Linked DNA regions of Daphnia pulex. The protein of the gene in region 2 purifies or fractionates together with the protein of the main gene of each other region. This does not show direct contact. Links are inferred from orthologs where the notes say so. Each region holds a gene or a part of one and is shown on either strand. Other genes may lie near its edges. The genes, in order: ATPase ASNA1 homolog and large proline-rich protein BAG6-like.

Region 1 (13,130 bases), on a different chromosome or scaffold from region 2:
TCATAGCCGGCAAGTAAGGCAGACGCAGCTGCAGCTTGAGACTCGTAACCACTAGCTCGGTGTTCTTTGGCTAAGAATCAGGGACACAAATGAAATTAACAATTAATTCTTTTTAACTCTACTTAAAGTTAAAAAAAAAAAAACACCTGTGAACTTTTGTGATTCAGCAAGAGCTGGGCCATACTTTTTCTCCTGAAGCAATAATACAGTGTTCACTAAAAACAACTCATTCACTGTTTGTGACTGAAGAAGAAGATCCTTCAGTTTTTGGAACAACAGATAAAAACATAGACTATCCTTATGTTTAGTGAGCAGGGTGGGTAACATGTTCGAGGTAAACTGCCGGCTTACTTGATTATTTTCCATCTGTGAAAGCGACATCAATTAAAATGTGCTGTATAAATACAAAAATGTATGTACATACCAAGTATTTTAAGCTCTTCAACATTAGACCATCATTCCTCTCTTGTTGGGAAGTTCTCAGACCAGCAAACAAATGTGTGGACATATTCAATGTGGCTTCACACTCTGTGAACACAAAAGACATTTGATATTGGAAAATGCAACATATTGATAACTGACTTCAGTTCATTCAACTGCCAATTAACTTATTACCATCGTTGTTTGAATTGAAACTGAATTTCCCCTCAGTGAACTCCTTTAAAAATGTTTTCTGAGACAAAAGACTTTTAGATAATGGGTGATTTGGAATGAAAATAACACACTTACTATTAGTTCTCCGAAAGTATCTTCTTCAGTTCTATTTGTTGCCATTATTATGAGTTTTTATGACCCACAAACTTCCCAAAAGAAAATCATAGAACACTAGAAATTAGTCAAATTCAGAATTTAAATGCGCCACAAAAACGTTCTCGATACTCCAAAGGCTGGTACCGAACTGAAAGTCTGAAATGTGTTGCACTGTTGCGCAATAGACTACATTATTTTGTGGGGCGTCTACTAGCGGCATCTGGAAACTGGAATGGATCCATTGTCAGGTTAAATTCCTTTAAAAAGTAATTAAGAAAATGGAAGCATCCTTTACGCTCATTTTTTAATCTACTACACTTTCATTTATTTATTTTACTCATAAAAGGTTGAACCGCAGTGAAACGAACAATAATATTATCTCAAGAGTAAAATCGATTTCTTCAACCTGGCAACGCTGTTTAGTTTGTCATTCTTACTAATTTTTTTTTCTTTTGTGGCGAAGTTGAAATCTCTGTCTAAATTTGTTGTTCAATTTTCATTATTTGATCGATGCGCATTGTTTGAAAATGGAAAGGTGGTTTAAAACAGATAATGAGCTTGCCAGCAGCATGGAGTACGACCAGATCGGATTGTCTAGCGAAATTAGATCAGCGCCTGATGCGCTTGTTATCTCCAACGATTTTTCTCACTGTTTGGGAGAAAAATTGCCATTAGAACTTTTGACAACTGATGAAGAAGGAGTTCCAAATATTATTGAGCTTGAAGTGCAGTTAGATGACAAGTGTTTCAACACTTCTCATGAAGAAACAGCTGTTTTGTCGACTGAGGAGACTATTCTCTTTGAGGAAGTCCGGGACACTCCAAACATTTTACATCAGGATGAAAGAGAGAACCTAATGTCTCTACAGTCAAAAGTCATTGATATTGTTGAAGAAAAGATTATGTTGTTAACACCACATGAACTTGAGTCCATGAAGGTAAGTGCTCTGGAATCAGATAGTGAGAAAGAGAGTCAACAATCCAAGGTGGAAAGTGGTCCTTCAGATTCAGTTAATGAAGTACACAGTGAAAAAATTCCCAAACCAATTGTGGTTCTTCATGAAAATGAAACATTGTACCTCTGCCCATTTGAAGAATGCTCAAAAGGTTTTTCTAAATTATTTATGGCCAAAAGTCACATTATGACCCATGTTGGAATCAGACAATTTAAGGTATGATCAAATAATCTTGTTCAAATTCTTTGCTATGTGATTTATTCATTTGCCTTTCTAGTGTGATGCTGAAGGTTGCTCTTGGTCATTCTTCTCAGAATACAAGTTGAAACGCCACAAAGAGTGTCATCAAGGGAAAAAAGACTTTGCTGTAAGATAGCTGAAGGTTTGCACAATCAATTGATAATGATTTTCTTCGTCTATTATTTCAGTGTACTGTTTGCCGAAGGAAGTTTACTACGTTGTACAACTTAAATTCACACAAAAAGCTTCACGATCGACCAAATATATACTCATGTTCAATTGAGCAGTGCAGTTCAGAATTTCAAACTCAGAGAGAGTTAGATAACCATTTAAAGGTAAAACAAACTAAAAATACTGCTTATGTAAAACAAACACAGTCTTTCTTCGAATACAGGAGCAACATCGAGAAGTTGAAGCACCGTATGCTTGTCATCACTGTAATTGCGGAAAACGATTCCATTCTTTAAACGCCCTGACCACTCACCTTCGTAGTCATACGCGTGTGGGTCCATTAATGTGCCAGTGGGAAGGTTGTTCCCGATCTTTTGACAGGCCATCTCATCTGGAATCACATCTTAGAACCCATACGGGAGATCGTCCTTTTGTATGTCATTTTGAGGTGAGTTAAGTATTTGGTGTTCAAAGGTTAGGAAGGATTCATTGTTTAATTCATCACAGGGCTGTGGATGGGCTTTCCGAACGCCAAGCAAGCTTAGCCGACATCAGCGGACTCACAAGAATGAACGACCATTCAAATGTCCACACCAGGAATGTCATAAAGCTTACTTGAGATCAGAACATCTGAAGCAGCATCTTCTTAGTCAACACCGCGGAATGAAAATGTTTCGTTGTCCTGTTGAAAGTAAGTTTATTTTATTTTTATAAAATTAAATAGCGCAATTAACATTGCGTACTTGTAGATTGTGGTGCGGAATTTACAGCGAGGAGTACCTTATATGTCCATGCCAAAAGACATAATGTTGATACTGCCAATCTTACCTTCCCTTGCGAGCACCCCGGTTGCAATAAACAGTATTCCGGCAAATCCAATCTGAGGAAACACATGGTTCGATGTCACGGTAACCGTTCTACTCCATGCACCGCTACCGTTTCTCCAACGGAACCTCCGGAACTGATTAAAGTAATTGATCAGCCGATTCAAAATGACTACATCGCATTGCTATTGGGAGACGACGAGGAACAGATGTCTGCAGACCGCTCGGTCGTCACTTTCCTCGCTGTTCCGACAGACAGTTTACAGGTAGAAATAAAAATGTTTCTTTTTGTGAGATATGGTAATAATTATGATTAAAATTTATTAGGATGCTGGACCGGGATCAAATGGAGATTCAAATGTCTGCGTCTTACTTCATACCGGTGGTGGAAGCCATGAGGCCAGTACAAGTTCAACTGGTCACGCCCACATTGTTTGGAGTTGGCAAACAAGTCCCGTGAAAACTGGTGAGGAATGTTCCGAATTTAGTCAGTCGACGATTAACATGCGGGATTTGGAATAATTCGTCCTTCCTCTTGTAAATCCAATATTTCATTGGGTATGCACATTTTGCATTTTTTTTTGCGCATATCTTATAACACAAGGGCAATTTTCGTCTCTTCACAAACTATTGAAATGAATATATACTCGATTGTCTATTAATGCTGTTGTGTTGCTATTGACTTCGTATTGAAAAGGGTAAAGTAAATCGGAAAATAAATTGGTTCTCCTGGATGAAATGCTGAAGTACAATTACAAAATATTTGAACCAATAATGGGTTTTCATAATAATGAAAAAACTCACACTTAACAAATACATATCTTTATTTTGGGGAGTAAGGCTTCAGCAAGTTCTCCGAAAACTTCTTTACTTGCTCGACGCCACGAACTTCACGATCTAGCAAGGGTAAACGTGTGACGTGGAAGTCCTCATATAAGTCGGCAATCTGTAGCGGACAAATAATAAATTCAATTAATAGAACCCCTCACCAATATGACAATAATTGAAAAAAACCTGATCAAGATATTTAGCTTGAAGTTTCTTGCGAGCACCGCATAGTCCGCACGTTTCTCCAGTTGATGTTATTGGGGCGTCTAATAATAGCTGATTAACAATAATGTTGTGTGTGTCAATATTTGACTTGGAAAGCTCTTGAACCAGACGTTCTGTTTCGTATAGTGACAAAAACTCTGCAATGCAAACGCAAACGAAGGTAGTTCGATTCTATAGAAAAAAATTATGTTGGTTAAATTCTTAAACAACAAACAACAAGTAATTTGTTTAAATTACAGGATCTTTGAACTGTTCATTTATTTGCTGAATAATTGGTAGCATTTCCTCTAAACGATTAGAAAATATGTCTGTATTAACATTGCTCATGCCAATAAGACCTGATATCTGCAAGAATCAATAAATTAGTTTAGTAATCAAGGTCAAACAATATTTGTTCTTAAAAACTTACTTGTGAGACAAATGGCCCAATTTGCGACTTGAGACGCAAAAGTTTACTGAGCCCTTTCTCTACAACAGAAGGAAATGCAAGCAAACGCAAAGTATGTCCAGTTGGAGCTGTATCAAAGACCACTACAGAGAAGTTCATTCCTTGTACTAACCTTTAAGCACAAAATATTAAATTAGAAAAACACTTTTTTAAATGGTTCAAGATCTAGACCAGATTTCTCATACTTCATAACTTCAACATAGCTCATAGCTTCATCGATACCAGGAAATGCACCAAATATTTCTTGCATTAATCCACGGTTGGCTCTCCAAAAGTTGTTTTCTCCTTCAAAATAATCATCTGGTAATTCATTAAAGCCAACATTTGGGTCAATTTCCTAACAAAATAAATCAAATTAGATAATAAAACTAATAATAAGACTGACAGATGAAAACATTTTACCATTGCAAATAAATTCTCAAACCCTTTCACTTTAGTAGGAACTTTGCTAAACTTCTGATCAAAAGCATCTGATATGTTATGAGCTGGATCAGTAGAAATGATAAGTACAGTATCACGAACACGGGCCAGCTGTACAGAAAGGCTGCAACTATAATTTCAAAATTCAGAAAATAAAATTTATTACGAAAATTTCAAAATGTCAAAAGAAAATCATTATACCTGCAGGTTGTCTTGCCTACACCTCCTTTACCACCGACAAAGATCCATTTCAAAGTGGATTGCTCAATAACATTGTTAAGTGTCGGATCAAGCTGAAGAAAATCTTCTTCGATATTAGACGCCATTAGACGTATTATCAGACCTTGAAATAACAGACGGTAAATATTGTTTTAATGATTAGTGAGAAAGCACACGAATGGACTAGTGAATGGATTTTGTTGCAGACGACACAATACATATTTGACACATTGGCATTTGTCATTTTATTTTATAAATCTGGCGTCATTCCTTTTTGGGCGGATATTTCAAATTATTGATTAAAAGACACCATACCCAATACATATAATATAAAATAATGTTATGACATCAAAGTATGTTCATTAAAGAGATAAAGGGTTACATTGTGTTTACTGCTTTGGAAGTTGACGAACGGAAGCAGGGTTTGCGAGTTATTAGATATGATTGGATATTAGATGGGCGGATATGGTGCTGCTCCTGCTAGTGCTAATAAATAGAAAATTCTGAGTTTATATAACACAATAACAAATTAAGTAAACCACAAAAACATAAATCTACTGTCTCCGTAAATCTTGTTATGCAATATCGTTTTCCCCCATGGGGCCATTACGTATACAACAACTCCAGCAAGATAACTAATGGTAGCGATGAAAAATCTATGAAAATGCCTGGAGGTTAAGTTAAAAGGACTGTTGGTATGTTAAAAGAAAAAAAAAGCTTCCGGATAAAAAAGTAGGAGGGTTTAAAATGCTAGTGCACAACGCACGTGGATTCTCAGAACTGAATATTCCCCCATTTGTGGCCTTTTGCTTTGGGACTGCAGACGTTTTTCCCTGGAGAGGCCTGACTATGCGAATACACATCTAAATGCAGGTCGTTGATACTTAACTATCAACGACAGTAACGACGACAGTAATGACAAGAGGTTATTCAACTTGTAAAACGTCAGGAAATCGCATCATTTTCTTACTGTGAAGTGATTTTAGGTTTCCAAGCACAATGTTCAGGCTCAAGAATTTTCAAAAATTCACTTTTGCTAACAGAACGCGCAAAAATCTAATGAATTTCAAATGACGTCTCTTGACACAGAGGCAGTATAGAATGAAAGAAGAAAAGGTCACTTGCAGGTCAAAACGTATGTTGGTCTCGGCCGTTGGGGATATGAGACTATCCCTTTTTAGCTGAATAGAAAATATGGGTCAGGTTCTAAAGCCTCAGTCATTCGAGGTCATTTATCTCTTGTGAGGTCATTTCACCCATATATAGATGACCCTATCCCACACCACTGTGCCACCCAATATTGACGACGATGACCTTGAATAAAGTAAAGGGATGAAACGTGTTAATAGAAAATAGTATGGAGACTACTGTTGGGGGAGTAGGTCGATGACTTAAAACAACTTAAGCCCAGTTGGCCAGTTCGTTGGAAGAAGGTCATGTCATCGACTCGTCGATACATTTCATGGTCGTCCTCTTGATCTTACTACAGTATCGAAATCATCGTCGTCAGTTACTCGAGTGTTATCGACTCGGTTAGAAGTGCTCATTTGATGATGGAGACTAAGAACTCGATCTTGAATGCGTTACTCCAACAGGCCATTTTTAATAGTCAAGGTGTTGGTGCCAACGTTCCCGTGAACTTAAGCATGTCGTTAAACGACGAAAGAAGTGAAGTTACCAGCTCGTCATCGTCGGCCGACGATGAATCGCCCGCTGATTTGTCTAGTCGCAGTCATCACCAACGTGAAGATTCGCCGATTCCGCCATCGTATCAACATCATCCTGACTCATCACAGCTAATGCATGCTATGGCGGCTGCTTTCTCCTTCCAGCGGGATCTGATGGCGCAACAAAACAAGTCTGACCATCTTAATCAATCAGATGCAACAAGTCCGGCCTCACCTGCTGATCCTTCTCACCTGGTTGCCAAAGCCTTGGCCTCGGCCACCACGAGAAGGCCGAGGAGTGAGAAGAAACCTATTCCCGATGATTTGAAGGATGGCAAATATTTTGAACGCCGACGTCGGAATAATCTTGCAGTAAGTGATCTATAAAAATTTCCAAATTACAGAATTTTAAAATTATCTTTTTCTGAAGGCTAAGAGATCTCGAGACATGCGGAAAAACCGTGAGGATCAAGTTACAGTTCGCGCCAATTTCCTTGAGGTAGGATTTAATATCTAGTAAACAATTTCACTGGTTATTCATACTTCAATTTGAGTGTTTTTTATTTTGTAATTTGACAGAAGGAGAATTCGGTCTTGAGAGCTCAAGTGGCCACTTTGAGAGACGAAGCATTCGCCTTGAAGCAAATGTTATTGCACAAGAACGCTTCCGCCATTCTCCGTAGTCAAGCTGCCACCAGTTGAGCTTACGTTGTGGGGAGAACAAACAAGAACTTTGTCCACGTTATTGTTTTTACCTTTATATTTACCAATGCTAATCCCTCCTGTTTAACTGATTTCTCTTTCGGTTTCAATCCATCACGTCTTTTATTTATCATTTCTTTTTTAGACGTGCTCGTCTGCTATCAACCGACTAAGCTTCACAGTGCCAAAAATAAACGAAATAGAAATCAGTTTTTCTCTTGTCGACAATCTTTCAATCATGACCATCCGTCCTTGATTTTTTTTTAAATATTACACAGTTACCCACATGTTGAATACATTAAACAAAGTCCTTGGTGAAGACATCTTTTATCAAGAAACTCGAGTCAAAACTCAGAATCAGTCCTAAATGGAAACGTCGCATGTTTTAACAATGTTTTTTATGTTGGAAAAAACAGGAATTTACGTGGAAGCATATGACGCATATTTTTAGTTTTAATACAAGCTAGCTGTTGGCGATGCACTTTGAAATAATAAATATTTAAAAATAAGAACGAAGGGCTCGAATATTAGATTGTAGCATGCTGCCACCTAGTACTTTGTTTAACTATTAAAGAGAATTCAGCAGCCACACACGTGTGAGATTTCCGTCGTCTGCAAGTTGTCTTTTTTTGTCTGCTGTTTGTAGTTTGTATCAAACTTTTCGTGCGTTTCGCGAGGGGATTGCAAGGTTTAGCAGCTTTATTCTTCAATAATTAATTTCGAAATCAGCAACACATCTCTGTTCCAGGTAGAGTACAACGTCATAGAAATAAACTCATCGATTTTTTATTATAAGAATTAACTCATAGGATTTCTGTGCAACGTCTGAAAAACTAACAAAACAGAATGGTCCGAAAACTAAAGTATCATGAACAGAAATTGTTGAAAAAAGTAGATTTCATCTCCTGGAAGCTTGACAACAATGTTCATGAAGTGCAAATTCTTAAAAGATACAGAATTCAAAAAAGAGATGATTACACAAAGTAAGTGGATTTTAAATGACAGATTTCTTAAGAAATCATTTTGACGATGTATCTTAATTGCAGGTACTGCACACTTGTAATGCATGTAAAAAAGTTGGCAAACAAGATAAAGGAGCTCGACCCCAAAGACCCTTTCAGAGTGGAGTGCAGCGCTGCTCTTTTGGAAAAACTGTACAATTTTGTTTTCATATAATTTCTGAAGGTTACTTGACTGTTATCTTAAATTTAGATATTCCATGGGTTTAATTCCAACCAAGTGGTCCCTTGATCTTGTTTCCAAAATAACAGCATCCTGCTTCTGTCGAAGAAGACTTCCTGTGGTCATGGTTAGGGCAAAGATGGCAGATTCCATCAAAACTGCAACTACATTTGTGGAACAAGGACATGTCAGAGTTGGTCCTGAAGTGGTAAAAGACCCAGCATTTCTTGTTACCAGGTACTTATTAAAACTTTTCAATTATTGATTGCATATAAATGACTCAGTTACTTTTTTTATGAATTAGAAATATGGAGGATTTTGTGACCTGGGTAGACTCCTCAGCTATTAAGAAACATATTATGGAATACAACGAGATGGTAATAATGATCATTATTGCAATTTTTTAAAGAAATTAATCAATTTCATTCCTTCTATTTCAGAGAGATGATTTCAATATGGCTTGACTTGTTTGACGAAATGCAACTTGTATGGAAATACATCCCGTTTTCTATCTACTAAATATCGCTCATTTCCTGTCATTTTTAGAATAAAATTAATTCATTGAGTTAGATAAGTATACATTCTAGTTCAAACTTCTCCTCTGAGGTTAATGGGGTTTCCGTAGTGCTTCAAAGGGGGGGAAAACCACGGTTAATCTTAAAGGCTCAAACATTCATCGACACGGTAGGTTATTACTAACCCTTAACCGGAAAATTTATACAGTTTTCCATTCACTTTTGATTGAATCACAAGTGTCAAGGAAACATGGCTGCCAATATGTCCTTCATTTTTGTTTGCTTAATATTCATTCATCTAGTTTATTCAGGATTACCTTTTAGATCCAAAAAATTCAACAGGCAATCGAAAAGTACATTGCGGAATTACCAAACTGAATTCTTTAACGAGGTAATGCTCATGCATTTATTACGTTTATATGAAATTGTAATACGTTTCACTAAATTGTCAAGGTTTTCCAAGACCATTGGGACCGTAAAATGAGAACTCTTGATCCAAAAGCAAATAAGAGTTTGTGTATTTTATTATTCTCCCAATTTTATAATGGAGTGATATAAAATGTGTTTTACTGTAAAATTCAGCTGCTACTTGTGACGCCAAAGCAATTGCTGCCGAAAACAGGAATGCAAAATGCAAACCGCGTCTTTATGTTGTCGCCTTAGAAAAATTTGAAGGTTTCAAGGTAAAATAATTCTCCAATTAAAACTAAAAATCATCCTGACTTGATGAATTTTACACCAGATCGAACCGAGTCATGTAGAAGTCATGCGATGTAATTATAGTAAATGTAGCAGTTCAGCCCAACATTGTCTACCATCAACAACTCAGATGCGAAAACTTTCGGTAAGTCGTTTTTTTCTCCCCTTATCTTGGTGCGCATTCTATTTAATTTTTTGTTGTATAATTTCAGGTTTACGCACTTAAAGAGCCCGCCCCGAAAACGAAGGAAAATCGTTCGACAACATGTATGCAGATGGAAGTCGAGGAACACGTCAGTTGTAAATGCGGTTGTCTGATTAAGCCGAAAGATTGCCACAAGCCTGCGGTAAAAAAATATCAATCAAAGATTTATTTTTACCAGTTGACACTGAATAAATTACATTCGTATCCTAGATCTACTCTAAAAACAACTGTCGTTGCGAGTGCCCCAACAGGAGCGAGGCCCATACGTGCGAGCAAAACGGCTTCAAATGGAATCAGTCTATTTGTCGGTATATACTACTTTCTCGTTTTTTTTTGTGGCTCTCTTATATAATGTATACAGGGATATTTTTTGGGTGTATGCAAATCTCGCCAGACTGGTCAGTTCTCTAGACGTAGACAATCTAAAAGAGTTTGCAGCCACTATATTTTAGTTTGTATTTTTTATTTTTGGGTGTGTGTGTGTGAATGAGGCGGTGGGAACTGGTTATGGAACGAAGGTTGACTTTATTCTTAAGATAAAAACAAAACAAACAAAATTTATCGATTTGTTTGTACACACATTTATTTGTGACGTCAAGGATATTTATTACGTTACAAATATAGTGATGCATTGAATTTTTTTTGTTTAAATTCTTGTTTCTTTATTTATTTTGTTGTTCTCAGATGTATCCAGAGCTCACCACTGTCTACGGAATGAGGTCAAACTAGACCCATGTTCTATAGAGAGAGAGAGAGAGAGCTATATCAGGCCCGAGGCCTGGGGACCGACGCCGGTTATACAATCTTTTTATTTTTCCTTTTTCCCATATGGGCTGCCTACAAAGTCTGTCTGTCGTAAGAGTCTAAAAAAAAAAGGAAAAATAAATAGAAATAAATTTAGTCCTTTTTTTAATAAATATTATTTTTTTTGCCTACGTGTGCACTGTATATGTGTAACTATATATACCTTTGCAAAATCTCTTGAGGACTTACGAAATTCAACGACGTCGTCAATGTCCATTAAGCAGCTTGACTAAGTGTATCGTGAATAACGAACTGAACGCCGACAGGAGAAAATCCATCCGCGTTCTCTGTGTACACGTAGAAGATCAGGCAATTTCCGAATGGATTTACGGTGGTTGATGTTATCTCTTTGTTGGAGAGAAAAGGGGATTTCAAAACTTTTTTCTTGTGTGTGTGTGTGTGCGTACCGTGTCCGTGTGTGTAAGTTGTTACCACCGTAAATGGAGGTGCTCGAGGGGGCGATGTCGACGCGCAACTTTCACTTTTTCTGAAACAGCCCCAGGCAGTCACCTACAACAGACTTCGTGATCCGTCGGCGTACCAGTCGGATATTTTTGTTACAAGACAAGGTTTTGTTGTTATTTCCAAATAAAAACGAAATTCCAAAAGACGCATTTTTATGAAAATTCACCGATATATTGGTCATAAAATTCAGCGTGTAACAATTTTTTGTGTTTACCAAGTACAATTTCTGTTTTAATCTTTTTTATAGAGAATTCACACACACATACACACAAAATACAGAGGCGTTCAAATTCAGCCAATGAAACGTAAGGTAGACACAATATTTTCGTCAATGTGTAACATGTTTTTTTTGTTTTGTTTTAATTCTTAATTTTTTTTTCTAAATCAAATAAAATTTTTCCCCCCTGACCGCAGAACAAATTTGTATTTTTATTTTTATTTTAAAGAGCCGACATTGGGCGGCTTCGTCACAAGAATTACTATTCACGCAGAAAAGGGAGAAAAATCGACATGGGAGAATTAAAGAAAAATAATAAACAGTTTCGTGTGTGTGTTACATGATAACAGAGAGGATTGCATTCCGGCAGAGAAGAAGAAAAGTCTGGCAGGACAAATTTTCTTTTTTTTTTTTATATAAACGCAATGGATTGAAATTGAAACATTAGCGCGCGCAAAACCCAACTCTTTTCCTTTTTTTAACCTAATTATTTTTAAATAGTCTTTTGTATGTCCATCCCCATAAACACTGGTTCACACATTCACACTAACCGCCATAATAAGCGGGAGGGAGAAAAAACCGACACGAACCGACAGAGCGGAATGAAAAGAAAAATAGAAAAAAAAATATTAGAACGGTCACAATAGAGAAAGAGAGAGAGAACCCAATCGAAAGATTTAAATTTTTTTGTGTGTGTTTTTTTTTTGTTTGTAATCAATCCCATCGCCCACGAAAAAAAAAAAAATTCTTTAAAGGTAAATCAATGTCCCAAGAAGATAAACAGACCACATTTTGGTTTGTTGCCTTTTTTTTCCCCGGCCGTTCATATTGAAACTGGATCAATCCCAGCTGTGTGTGGATTTGGAATGTAGCCACACTACAATAGCCAAAGATTGGAGAAAGAAAGAAAGAATAATAAACGTACACACACACAGAGAAATACAAAAAACAGTTTGGAGAAAACAGAAAAGTGGGGAAATAAACAATTAAGACGATAAATGCTGCCACATTCCCAGTGGGGTCCCCCCCGTTCGGCTCTGATATATATTCATTACTACTCTTCAAGGTGAACAAGGGAGGAGCGCGATGTGGCTCGAGTCAACGATCAATAGAGAGAAGATTACACACATAAGGAGAAAAAAGTTTAGCCTTTTTTTGTTTCGTGTTGTTGTTGTTTTACAATTTTTATATGTACAGGGAAGGATGGCTACAAACAATTGGAGGGTTTTCTTTCTTCTTCATAAAGCCAAAGTGTGTGAGGGACATTTTGTGTGACTCCGTTTTTAACTTCTTTTTGCACGAAACGGCGGCAGCAGATCTCTCGTGAGCGTGGTCGAATTTTTTGCTTTTTTCTCAGATTTTTAATTTTTAAACACCGGGATCCAGAAAATATATATCGACACCAACAAATCTCTCTATCGTGAAAGCCTCTGGCGCACCGTCGTTGGTTTGGACAATTTCACTCAAAAATCTAAAACGAAAAGAGCTCAAAAACGTCTTGACGCCGCTGCATATTTTTTGTTTGTTTGTTATAGTTGCGCGAATTTCATTCGAACACTCACACACAAAGTCAGTCACACACTCACATTCTCA
Region 2 (11,953 bases):
ACAACCACACACGTTGTTATTGTCGAAATCTCCAATTCAATTATTTCGCACTGGACACACACTGGCAAAATGATAGACAAACCACACTGGTTTAATAACCAAAAATTCTACGGTTCAAATAGTTGAATGAATCAAACGAAACACCACACTCGATCAAGAAGAACTTGAACTGTGAACACGGTGGCAGACGACGAGCGACTGAGTGCCAACGCATGCGCCGATAATATTCTCGTCTCGTCTAATCTTTTTTTTTTCTTTTATTCACGTGTTTGTCGGTCGGAGGAAGAAAAACGAATAGACACACACACACAGCAGAGACTCACCCTTGGAAACAGCTGAGAGAGAGTAGTAGTGCACATATCTCTTCTCAATGTGAGATATTCTCTTTTTCTTCTGGTGAATTGGACGAAAAAGAAACGAATTTAGAACGGAGGAAAAAGAAAGAAAATGGTGGTGGTGGCGCTAGTATCGCGTCAAGGTCAAAGCACCGTGAGCCTCTGCACGACTCTGCCCCACTGATCAAATGAGACTCGATTCATCATCACGACCTTGGTTGTTGTTTTAACAATTTGGTTTTTCTTTCATGGCGTCACAAAGTCTCTCCAGAATAGAAATCTAACGGTTTTCTATCTTTTAAGTTTCCCAAATAATGGCTGTGGAGCCTCTCTCAAATTACTTTTCACACATTCGATCAACCACTGTGTGTGCACTTGCAGCACTAGGGATCAAGGAATTTCGGACAAAAATTGTATTCAGGTTGCCCCTAGCGACACATCCAACACTCGTCAAAAGTTTGCAATTACTTTGGTAACACGAAATTTCACTTGGACATTCCCCCAGAATAATTTGGTAGTTTTTGATTCAATCGAATTGTATTCGATTGATAGTTGAATGTATTGTTTTTTTTAACAACCGGGGGCCGGTACAGACGAACAGAACAGAACACACACACAGCAGAGTGCAACGACCTCTCGTTCGGGTTTGCCTCTAGTTTCTATTTTGCCTTTGCTCTACTCTCCCCCCCACCCTCCCTCTCAATCGACCCCACTGATCCCCCCCCCCTCCCAAAAAAAGAGGAGGAGAAATAAAAAAAGAACACGCGGGTTCCGAACCGGAAAGAACCCGCGACACCACCTAGCGGCCGAATACTTTTATATTTAAATTTTTATTTTTAAAAAATAATTTGAGAAATGAGAACAAAATGTCGTGCTAAAATTCAACATTGTTTATTTCTAATGTTTAAATTTATTTTTTAAAACGACGGCCATTTTGTTTAGATTCTGCGTAGTAATCCAGATTTCGTGCGTGCACTTGTGCGTAGTTTGGTGTAGTGCATGTACATAATGGAAAAGAATAAAGAGAAGGAAAGTTTAATACGCAGAGGTAGACGACCCCGACGTCTAAAAATGACGTCACGGCATCGATCGACGAGAGACGCCTCGACGTCGGTTGACTTTCCCGACTGGAAGAGAAAAAATACCGAAACACAAAATTTCGGCTATGACGAAATTGACACACACGACGACGAGAAAAATTAAATCCCCGACCTCAAAAATAAAAAAGGACGTCTAACACAAGTTCTTTTTGGCTATAGGCGTGATTCATTGCTGGCTGTATATATGCACACACCGTGATTCGGCAATGAAGTCGAAGAAAGAAAAAAGAGAAAAGAAACAAAACAAAACCGAAAATGGCGCACGGCCATGACTAGTTTTTTTCATCCCGCGCCGACACTGCACGGCAAAGAGTTGAACGTCCTGCTAACCCACTTTCTCCTGTGTACACACCGACGTGTTGGATGCAGTCAGCTGTTTCTTTTTCAGTTGCCCTTTAAATATGGCGAAACTCTAAAGGGGAGTAACTCTACTACTAGTCGGTAAAAGGTATTCATGATGAATTTGTTCTCTTGGCAGACAACTGAATAAAAATCATGGCCGCCGACCTCCATTGTTCAATTCCGGTCTGTCCAGTTTTTTTCTCAGCAGACACATTTATGGGCATCAACGGGACACTAAAGAATTCGTATACGTTGAATCATTTTTTTTTTCTAGGACACACACTCAATTATTATTATTTCAATTTTTTGGCAAATCATTGGCCATCCAGCAACCAGGTCAACCAAGAATGAAAGAATTTGATCGAGCAGAAATTCGTCTCTGAAGCGAAGGAAATGTTTATTCTAATGGCGAACAATAAATTTCCTTTTAATGAACTTTGTGCGTCTAGGTTAATGGAACAAAGTTCACTATTCCAAATTGGCGTTTCCAGTTTGTTGCTGCTCCAAATGGCGTTCTGAACGCTCGTTTCACGACTTTGAAGATTCAGGTTTCTCTCTCTTTTTTTTATCGTCTGCTATCCCCCACGCGTTCTTTCTCTTCTCCCGTGTTATTTTTTCACGCAACCGGATTTTCATTCGAGCGGCAGCAGGTGAACGCACTCTCTCGGCTGGTGGCTGTCAGCAAAGAGACATGGCCGTCCCCCCCCCCCACACAACTCTACACATTGCCGAGCTTATTGTACTCGACTCTATATGCACGAAACTCGTTTCGACGATCTGCGGTAATCAAACAATTTTTACACAACACCCATCGTCCGACCTACTTCTCCCATTCCGACTATCGTTGTCTACCATCCCCATACACACACACACGAACCAGTTAAGATTTTAAATGAAAAACGTCATAACTCTTAATTCAATTAAGATATTTAAAAAAAACTTGGCTTTAATTCGATGCAGATGTGGCCTTGATTGTCCCAATCATCGACCAAATTCACTTACATTTCTACATCATTCCGAATGAATTTCGATAATTGAAAAAGAGTAGACGCTGCTGCTCTCAAGGACTCCCGACCACAATCATCATCTAATAACAAACAAAAAAGTTGAAACGAATTATCATCTCCCTATAAAATACAACCAGCAGTTGATCAAAACAACATAAATCGAAATGAAGGCCGTAAATGACATGAAAAATAATACCCGGAAGATTTCTCTCTATAGCTCTTTTTAGACAACAGTAGCAAAAGTTGTTTACCAATGCAATTGTGTGTGAATTCCCTGGAAGTTGCTGCATCGTGGTGGAAAGCGCTAAGCGGATAGAAAGTTTTCTTTCCCTTTTTTTTACGAATTTGTTATTATTGTTGTACTACTACTGTCATGTGTGTGTGGGTGTATGGGGTTTTTTAAAACACTTTCTACACTGGCGGAATCCGTCGAGGTCGCTGTCCTCTTGCCGCTTTTTAGCTGCTGCACATTCTCAAGCTATTTTCGACATTTCCGAATTTTCTATCGAAAAAAAATCATAACCTTGGCCGGAACTGAAGAAAACTGATCCCTTTCGGATGGAGCACATGAATTCAATAATGAATAACATACGGGAGTCATCCAAGACATCCCAAGGTTTTTCCATAGGAAATTCAATTAAAAGTTAGAGAAATCTTTCCCTCCATCAAACGATATCAATCGGCCATGAATCGATCGCCTTTGATGACTTTTGCCGATGCTGCTGGGAAGACCTTCTTTTCCATCACTTCCGTCATGACCTCCCAAAGTCAAGTGTGTCAACAAACCCTGCCGGTGTCTCTCTTCTTTAATCAAAGCCATTCCTCCTACATGTCAAAAGGGAAAACCAAATTGTGTGTGTTGAGTTTTCTTCAATCCTAGTTTTTTTTTGAAGAACATTTAGTTTCAAAATGAAATAATCAGCGCCACCTAGTGGTGAAAAATAGCTAAACAAAAAAAGAAATCTTTATTCAATCAATCATCTATCAATTTCCGTGTTAGGCAGACAAAAAAAAAAACAATCCAAATTGCAAAGAAAATTGTCTTTGTTTATGGTGGGTATGCCATCAAGCGAAAAGGGGAAAAAAAGTTTGTTGATGGCCATTGACGGGAAAATGTAGGGAAATCAAAATATTGATGACACTCGCACAACTTTCCAACATTTGGTTGATTTTTATCTTTTACAAGAAAAACAAAATTTAGGAAGAGGGAACCACTAAATCAAAAAGCTGATGGGCGGAAAACAAACGGATAAACAATGAGAGGGAAAAAAATGAAGAAAAGTTATTACTTTTTTTTATATCAGATGATGATGATTCGATCGAAGTCAATTAGGATCGAAATCGCCCACTCCACCTACATCGAATTTGAACAAATGAAAAACACATGGCGACTCAATAGAAGAAGAAGAAGGGAAAAAAAAACATGAAAAATGGCCGATTAATTAATTATATGGGGGTAGAGAATAGGGCAGGGTGGAGGCGATTCTTTGTTGTTTTTGTTTTATTATTATTATTATTATTATTTACTCTTTAAGTGTTTCCGTGAAAGTATCGCTCTGCGTTAGGGAAACGTTCGGCATCGAAATCGGCGTCCGTGTCCAGCCTGGCGTTGCCCAAACGGCGGATTTCCGGCAAAAGGGCGCTGCCCACTTCGACATTGGCAGTGGCCACATTCGTTACTTCACCAACGGCGGCCGACGAGACGTTGGCAGAACGCAGGGCGCGTTCCATCGTTTCTAACATTTCAGAAATTAAAAAAAAAAAGGGTTTTACAAACGTTGTATAAAATATGATGAATGAATTAATTACCCTGGAGGAGCAACTGAGGATTTGTGTTGGGTCGATTGCCTTCGGCCAACTTGCGTCGCTTATTGGGAATTCCGGCCAGGTAGGCGTCACTGAGCGGCACATTTGGCGGAGCTCGATTTTGACGTTGGATATCACGGGCAATCACCGGTACCCATTCCTGTCAGAAAATTGTATTTAAAAACAAAATTAATTAAAAATTTGGGTGGAATGAAAAACGATTTCTAAAAATTCTGACCCGTGGGACTTCGTTGTGCCACGACTGAGAGCCCATGACGACGTCAATGACCGGCTCTGGAGGTTTCACTTGGCTGGATTCCTTTTGACGAACATCTTGGCGGAGTTTCTCTAGTCGACTAAGTCTTGCGGGCTGTGCAGAAACTGGTGCGGATGCTGCTTCTTCCGTCTTCTCTTCTACCACATCCATCGGTTCTTCTTCAACTGGTGCCGTCGATCCAGTAGCCACTGGGGGAACAGACTCGGGAGCAACGACGGTCGCTGCGGCCGGTGAATTTGTGTCGGTCATCTCTTCCACTTCTGCATTGAAAAGGGCAGTCCAGGTCCTTCCGCGTTCCGTGTTCATCACCATGGGCTCAATAGTTGGCGTCAGTTGATCCAAATCGACGGAAGCCAAAAGTGAACGAAGACGTTCGATCGACGAATTTGTCGTCCACTCTTGGACTGCTGGATGAACTCCATCCGATACTCCACGCTACATTTTAATAACAAAACAATTAGCGCCTCAATTCATTATAATAATTCATTTAATATCCTACCAACTGAGATAGGAAAACGCGTTCAAGACTAGTGGAACCATCGGTGAAACAATTGAGGGCTAAAGCTGCAGCGAGTATTAAAGTCCGGCGGATTTTATCCATCATCAGTTGGCCGAAATTCGGATTTTCACCTTAAACAAAACAGAAAAGTCAATCAGCTATCAACGTCAAGTACAAGTTCAATAATACCTGGCATTCCAATTAACTGGATGACTTCGTGAAGACACTGCTGGATGAATTGGGCCATGGTAGCGACGAAATCCACATCGGGACGAATGCTGGCCTCGGCCTAAAACCAGACAATTTAGTCAATACTTGAAATGAAAAATGTAATAATAATAATCGTGTCCTACGGCAGCACTCTGGAGTAAGGGCATGGCTTGATTGACCAGTGTCATGATGCCCTGTCGGACGGAAGGGTCTGAAAAGTCACCACCGGAAGGTAAGACTCGTTGACGAGCGAAATTCCTCAAATGATCTCTCATCTGGTTCAAAGCCTCCGGCATTCCGTAAAATAGGGCCATCAAATCACGGAATGTCATGTGATCCGCCTTTTTAGTCAAAAAATAAAGGTCAGCTGTTAGTTTTTGAATGGATCGTTTCATCATCGTCAAGGTAAATTTCACCATAGTCATAAAGAGGTCAAAGAGGAACGACTCGCCGGCCGTGTAAGTGAAATCAGGAATGTTGCGTAAGAAATGGGCCACCGTGTTGGGCGACTGATGGCCACTCACCACACCCGCAACTTCTTGCATGACTCCCTGGAGCAAACTACTAAACAAGGCGTTGGTTAACACTGGATTAGGGCTGCTGGATCCATCTCCACCACTCGTTCCACCTGCTACTACCCCGCCTGATAGTACACCGCTATTGGCCGTCACCTGAATTTCCATTTAATGACCAATCATTATCAATGTTTTCCTCTCGCAATTTTCAATGCCGCAATTACCTGACGAAACATTTCGTTCATAAATTCGTCGACGGAGGCCGGAACGGCTGTCGGTTGATTTCCAGGGCCTGGTGGACGGGTTTGATTGAGACCGGGAAAAGCTTGTGCCGCCGACGTGGAAGTGACAACCACTGGGCGTGGTCTGGCTCGCTCAGTGTCGGGTCTGGATGAAGACGAGCGGGTAACATGTCGAGAATGACACGGTAAAAAGTCGTCAAATTCGCCCAAAGATGTTGGTGATTGCCCACGAGACGCTTGTTGATCTTCCTGTTGATTGTTGTTCGAGCGAACTTCCATAAAGAGCGACATTGGATGCATTTGACCACCTAAATTGACAGGGGTCCAGCCTCCTTGACTCGCCATGGCTAAAGGCAAACGTCCAAACGGGTGCGGTCCTCCCCTGACCAGCATTTCAGGGTGCAGCATTTGGACTGAGGCTCTTGGAGCTGGGGGATTCTGCGCCGATGCATTAGCTACACCCGTTCCGGTCGTTCCAGCAGCCCGCCAACCATGAAATGTCGGATTTGTAGTTGGAGGAACTGATGGATTGGCAGCAGTAGCTGCAGTGGGTGGGCGGGTAACGTGTCGGATGAACTCATGAGGAGATATTCTTGTGGGCAATCGCGGAGGAGCTTGCGCTGGTTGCGGTTGAGGAGCTGTAGCGGCCTCAGGAGCTGCTGGGTTAGCCTGTGTCTGAGGAGCTCGGTGGGTATGTGTAGTCTCGACGCTGATTGAAGCGTGAATGGGTATGGTCGATGAAAGAACTTGTTGGTAGACGTAGGGTCTAGCACGGACTTCACGAGGAGGGGGAGTTCCAAAGTCAACCATTAAATCGCTCATGGCGTGAAAAGCGTGGGCCAAAAAGTGCAATCCTTCGGCTACCTTTTGGATCAAAAATCAATTGAAAAACATGGAAAGGAAAATATAATATGATTTTACTGAACCTGGTTGTAGGTGTGTTGTGCTTGCCGGTATTCAGGTGATGTGCTGTCCAATACGGGATCATCTCTGAGGAGCTGACGGACGGTTGTCAAATGAGGGCGAAGATCCTGCTGGATCCGTTCCATATCTTCGATGACATCGGCAAAGACAGACACTCGAGGATTTCGAATTTGCTGTTGTCGAGGTTGTTGGTCACCAGGAGGAGCTGCAGCTGACGACGGAGCTGACGAAGGAGCCGACGAAGGAGTTGCAGATGGGGTGGTTGAAGGAGGAGTTGTTGAAGGGGGTGTTGTTGAAGTCGGAGCTGTAGGACTTACGCGTTCGCTCGCGCCACTGCCACTCTCTGGTGGATTATTTGGTTGAGGCCCTTGCACCCGAAAACCAAACGATCCTTGAACTGCTGGTGATCCATTAGGTCCTTGCAACACGGCAATATTGTTTGCCCTGATAAAAAGAAACGTAACTAACATTTTTAGTTTTTTAGTTTGGAGGTTTGTCATTACCCCAAGGATTGAACAGTTGAAAATGCAGCAGCTATAGCAGTGGCAGCCTGTGCTTGAACCATTTGTATGGATGAGTAGGGTCCCTCAGCAGTATTATCCATTGTAAAGAGTGAACCAGTGCTGGGAACTGAACTGATCCTTCCCAAACTCTGTGAGGCATCCTCCAGCATGTGTCTGGCTGTATTCAAACGCAACAGAGAACTACTTCCGGCTGGAGCTGGTACTGAACCTTCATTTGATCGTAAACATTGTTATTGAGATTTCTACTTTTAATAATGATGAGAAATTTACCAAATGAATGATTGGCACCATTTTGAAACCCTCTGTCTAGGTGGTAGTGAATGTTTCCTGGTCTAGATCCTTGAGTTCTTGGTGGTCCTGAAGGAGGATTACCAACTGTTGGAGGTGCTCTCTGGACCAAGTGAATGACTTTTCCACTCAGGTCTGTAAAACACAAAAACATTTACATGCCAATCATTTGTTTTGAGCTAGGAAAGAGTATTTTCAATTTACCATATTCACTGAGCTTTTTGTCATCTTGAAGAACTCTGCCACAGTAAATCAAACGCTGAGTCTCTGCTGGTGTTCCTACATCCCCAGCAATGTGTTCTTTAAGTTCCTTGACTGTGAGCTGCAAAACAGAAATCCAGTTAGTTTCCCCTATCTAAAACTCACGAGTCGTTTCTTTTAATGGTCTTACCTCCTCTGAAACTGTGAATTTATGATTACGCGAATCGAGGGTTTTGACGGTAACTTCAATATTTGCCATTTTTGTTTAGCTTTCACCACCTCGAGTTCCAACCTCGCTGTAGTTTGGTGACGATACAGACACACTAATAATAATTATTCGGTTTCAGTATTTTTTATTTTACCGATCTAACCGGACGGCTCTGAACCGACGTCAGTTGTGTAATGGGTGTCGAAATGTAAATCTCTAACGTGGAAAACTGGAAATCGGGCCTGTAATAATACACGATAACAAATAGAGGCGCAACTGTCTCCACATCGAATCGACACGACACGACACAGCCGACAATTCATAGGCTTACGAACCAAGTTGTGTTACAACGCCACCTATTTCTCTTGGTTTTAAACCGTAAAAGAGGAATTCACTTCAATTTCATGATAATTTGTACATTTTACGAACAAGATTTTATCTAATTTTACACGTTATATTTATCAATGACAAATTCAAGGAAAAAATTATTTTATGAAAATCAATTCCTGGAATGAGCACCATCTTTTGGTGGTTTTCGATAGTCGAGGCAAGACAGGTGTAGACGAAATCCAATGGCGAGTTAAATCTAAAAAAGTGAGCGAAGCAGTTCAAAAGTCAGAACACAACAACAATGAATGCACTTGATGTTAACGAAGCCAGGAAACGGTTGGTGGATGTTTTGGGAGATTCTTCTAAGAAGTAAATAAATCAGATTTGATATTTGTGGTGGTATATCTCTAATATCATGTTTTATTTAGTTATTTTGCCCACCTGAAATCGTGGTTTTGTATGAGGGTAAGAAATGTTTCTTTTATACTATCCATTCAGTCATAACTGACATTCTCTCTATTTAGACAAGCAAAGAAGAGTTTGATCGCCAAGCCAGATTGTACCTGAAAGTAGACCAAGTTCATCTTCACAATGAGTTTCTTTTGGCCATTGTTACAAAATGTCAAAGCTTGTGCCAGCCTTCAACCTATGTCTATCATGGTGTGAAGCAAAAGCCAATTGTTGTCACTGAAGTGAACAAAATCAGACCACATACCATTCCTCTACAGAAACGTAATTCTGTTGAAATCAAACCGATCACTGTGACAAGACAAGTTTACCCAAAGAACAAGCCTCTCACTGTCAACTTTGATGTAATATGTCTTAATTATTGGAATTTTCATTGGAGACCTTGATTAACATAATTCTTTTCTTATCTAGAATCGATTCCAACCAGTGAATCCAGTTTCTCTGTTACCATTTTCTGCTCCTTGCACTGTAGAGAAACCACAGCTTCGTTACTGCAGCCAGGATCTAATTTTACCTGACGCTGGACTCGTTCACGGTCGAATGCTAGTAGCAGCTTGGGATGCTGGTTTGGATCATGGTTGTGAAGACAAAGCCATCAAACTGATACTGGCAGCTACCAAGCAATTTCTTAAAGAACTGATAATTGCTATCATAACAAACCGGAAAGGGTACCGCCTTCGAGAGAACAAAGTCATCTATTCGGTTGGCCAACCTACAATTAATCCGTGGCTACACAATTCATGGTCCATCCAAGACAGTACCAGTAACAGGTAAATATTTATTGTACAGTCCTATTCTTTTTCAACAACAATGTTTCTAAGTGTTCTCATTTTAAATCAGTTATCTGACCGAAATTTCGCAAGCTGCGGAACCACCTCACGTTCCTGCCATACCCCAAACATCTCAGAAAGCAGAGCGGGATTCCGCATTCTACCTAGCGTGCACTACCGAACAAGTTACCGCACTTCAACCGATTTCCGTTCTTGACGTTTTTCAAACTTTACAAGTAAGTCGATATTTAATTTCAAAACTTCAAACTAATCCTCATGTTTCTTTATTGAATAAACAATAGGTTAAAAAGGGCGTCATTCCCTGGCACACAGTGCACGCCGTCAATATGGAACGCATTTCACAGCGCCTCTATCACCCCAATTAAACTCGAATCTACTTGCTTAAAGAAATTATAACGATTAAAAAAAAAGATGTTTGTATTGTCGACGAGGAGGCCATGAGAAGTCAAGAATGCCAGGAAACTTTTTTATACCAAGAAATTGCATTTTTTTTTCCTCAAAATTCTCCTATAAAGTACACACCTCAAAACTGCTTTTCATCGTCTTTTTTCCCATTATTTTTTGTTGTTGGTTCATTGCGACAAAGCTAAATGCGCGGTCTACGTGTCGGAACGCCAGAGCTTGATAGTCTTATCGTTCTCCAATGCAGCAGATGCGATGATATTATCGGTCGGATGGCATGCAGTACACAGCACGACATCTAGAATGAAACATGAAGGGATATAAGTTCGCGTGTGACGTCTAGACAAATTAAATGTGAAAGAAGGAGCAGGTCCCCCGGTAGGAAGCCTTACCGGTGTGTCCTTGAAGTTTCTGAACAATTTCCTTCGTTTGCAAGTTCCAAATATAAACCATGTTGTCTTCAGAGCCGGAAACGATCCACTGCAGAAAGAAAAACATGTTCAAGTAAAAGAATGAAACGTGGATTGTTAAAGCAGTACTTTTCCTCCAGTAACCGAAAAATTGGCAAAGATGCAATATTTCTCGTTTTTGTGGCCGGTGTAGGTTTTCAAGCATTTGCCCTGAAACGAGCCAAAGAAAAAAGAATGGTAAAATCTGCAAAAATCTTTAGAGTTGAATTCATGATGACACCTTGGAATAGTCCCACAACTTCAGTGTGTTGTCGAGAGTTGCAGCCAGGATGTATTTTCCGTTGGGTGAAAATTTGACAAACGAGACGGGAGGATTGTCATCATCGATCAGCGTTTTTAGGCACTGGCCGGAAGCCGTGTCCCAGATGCGGCTGTAAACAAGTGATCAACACCACCAATCGATAAAATTAAGAGGTCGAATTTATTTAGTAAAATGAACACGATTATACCAAAGGCCATCGTAGCTTGACGAAACGATAAGAGATCCGTCCCGGTTAAAATGAACCGCTGATACGGGATCTGAATGGGCAGGAAGGGTTTTCAAACATTTTCCGGTTTTGACGTCCCAGATGCGCACACTCTCGTCAAACTGCAAACAATTCAAAAAGGTCAATAGCCTATTTTAAAGAAGGCGAGTGGTTGAAAACTTACTGAGCCTGAGACAATCAAGTTGGATTGGGGATTGAAATTGCAACAGAAAACATAATTGCTGTGTCCTTTTAATGTCTTCAAACATTTCCCCTATAAGAACATACATGAATTAGAGATGAGCTAACATCACAAATAAATGGTTAAAGACTTACTGAGCTCAGTTCCCAGATCTTGAGGGTTTTATCATCACTGGCAGACACAAGCAGGCGGCTATCAGAAGACCAAGCTACATCTGAGATACCAAGTTTATGACCTGTGATTGATTTCTCAAATTTGCCATCATAGGCACCCCAAATCTTCACCAGTTTATCAGCAGCTATTCATGATAAAAAAATTATAACATTATTAGAAATATAATTCTCC

What was found.
Region 1: the proteins of large proline-rich protein BAG6-like (region 2) and ATPase ASNA1 homolog purify together in Homo sapiens (co-immunoprecipitation; 5 studies listed by BioGRID and IntAct, with this or other methods). This does not show direct contact. The link is inferred for Daphnia pulex from reciprocal best matches to the Homo sapiens genes BAG6 and GET3.

What each region holds. Positions count from the first base shown.
Region 1 is NC_060021.1:8,079,853-8,092,982, forward strand, and holds ATPase ASNA1 homolog, read right to left. Parts: upstream 6,462-13,130; 5' UTR 5,189-6,461; coding exon 5,064-5,188; intron 4,993-5,063; coding exon 4,845-4,992; intron 4,780-4,844; coding exon 4,628-4,779; intron 4,555-4,627; coding exon 4,404-4,554; intron 4,340-4,403; coding exon 4,232-4,339; intron 4,166-4,231; coding exon 3,956-4,165; intron 3,888-3,955; coding exon 3,765-3,887; 3' UTR 3,593-3,764; downstream 1-3,592. Other genes in the region: uncharacterized protein LOC124194154, read right to left, coding at 1-70, 147-366, 425-528, 616-673, 730-774; zinc finger X-linked protein ZXDB-like, read left to right, coding at 1,278-1,922, 1,984-2,073, 2,135-2,281, 2,341-2,565, 2,625-2,808, 2,867-3,207, 3,269-3,463; transcription factor VBP-like, read left to right, coding at 6,632-7,120, 7,179-7,247, 7,328-7,450; U3 small nucleolar ribonucleoprotein protein IMP3-like, read left to right, coding at 8,297-8,433, 8,497-8,604, 8,663-8,869, 8,937-9,009, 9,073-9,096; uncharacterized protein LOC124194159, read left to right, coding at 9,398-9,538, 9,601-9,664, 9,730-9,830, 9,890-9,991, 10,059-10,193, 10,262-10,359, 10,736-10,769.
Region 2 is NC_060023.1:11,632,808-11,644,760, forward strand, and holds large proline-rich protein BAG6-like, read right to left. Parts: upstream 8,796-11,953; 5' UTR 8,530-8,795; coding exon 8,461-8,529; intron 8,392-8,460; coding exon 8,274-8,391; intron 8,205-8,273; coding exon 8,052-8,204; intron 7,990-8,051; coding exon 7,761-7,989; intron 7,702-7,760; coding exon 7,260-7,701; intron 7,198-7,259; coding exon 6,316-7,197; intron 6,248-6,315; coding exon 5,993-6,247; intron 5,918-5,992; coding exon 5,720-5,917; intron 5,656-5,719; coding exon 5,556-5,655; intron 5,498-5,555; coding exon 5,367-5,497; intron 5,303-5,366; coding exon 4,829-5,302; intron 4,751-4,828; coding exon 4,594-4,750; intron 4,521-4,593; coding exon 4,315-4,520; 3' UTR 4,312-4,314; exon of another isoform or gene 4,139-4,311; 3' UTR 3,731-4,138; downstream 1-3,730. Other genes in the region: transcriptional adapter 1-like, read left to right, coding at 9,110-9,177, 9,237-9,273, 9,333-9,620, 9,688-10,046, 10,117-10,282, 10,349-10,432; WD repeat-containing protein 5, read right to left, coding at 10,667-10,767, 10,862-10,949, 11,009-11,089, 11,160-11,310, 11,389-11,528, 11,591-11,680, 11,743-11,906. UniProt on the Homo sapiens protein: ATP-independent molecular chaperone preventing the aggregation of misfolded and hydrophobic patches-containing proteins.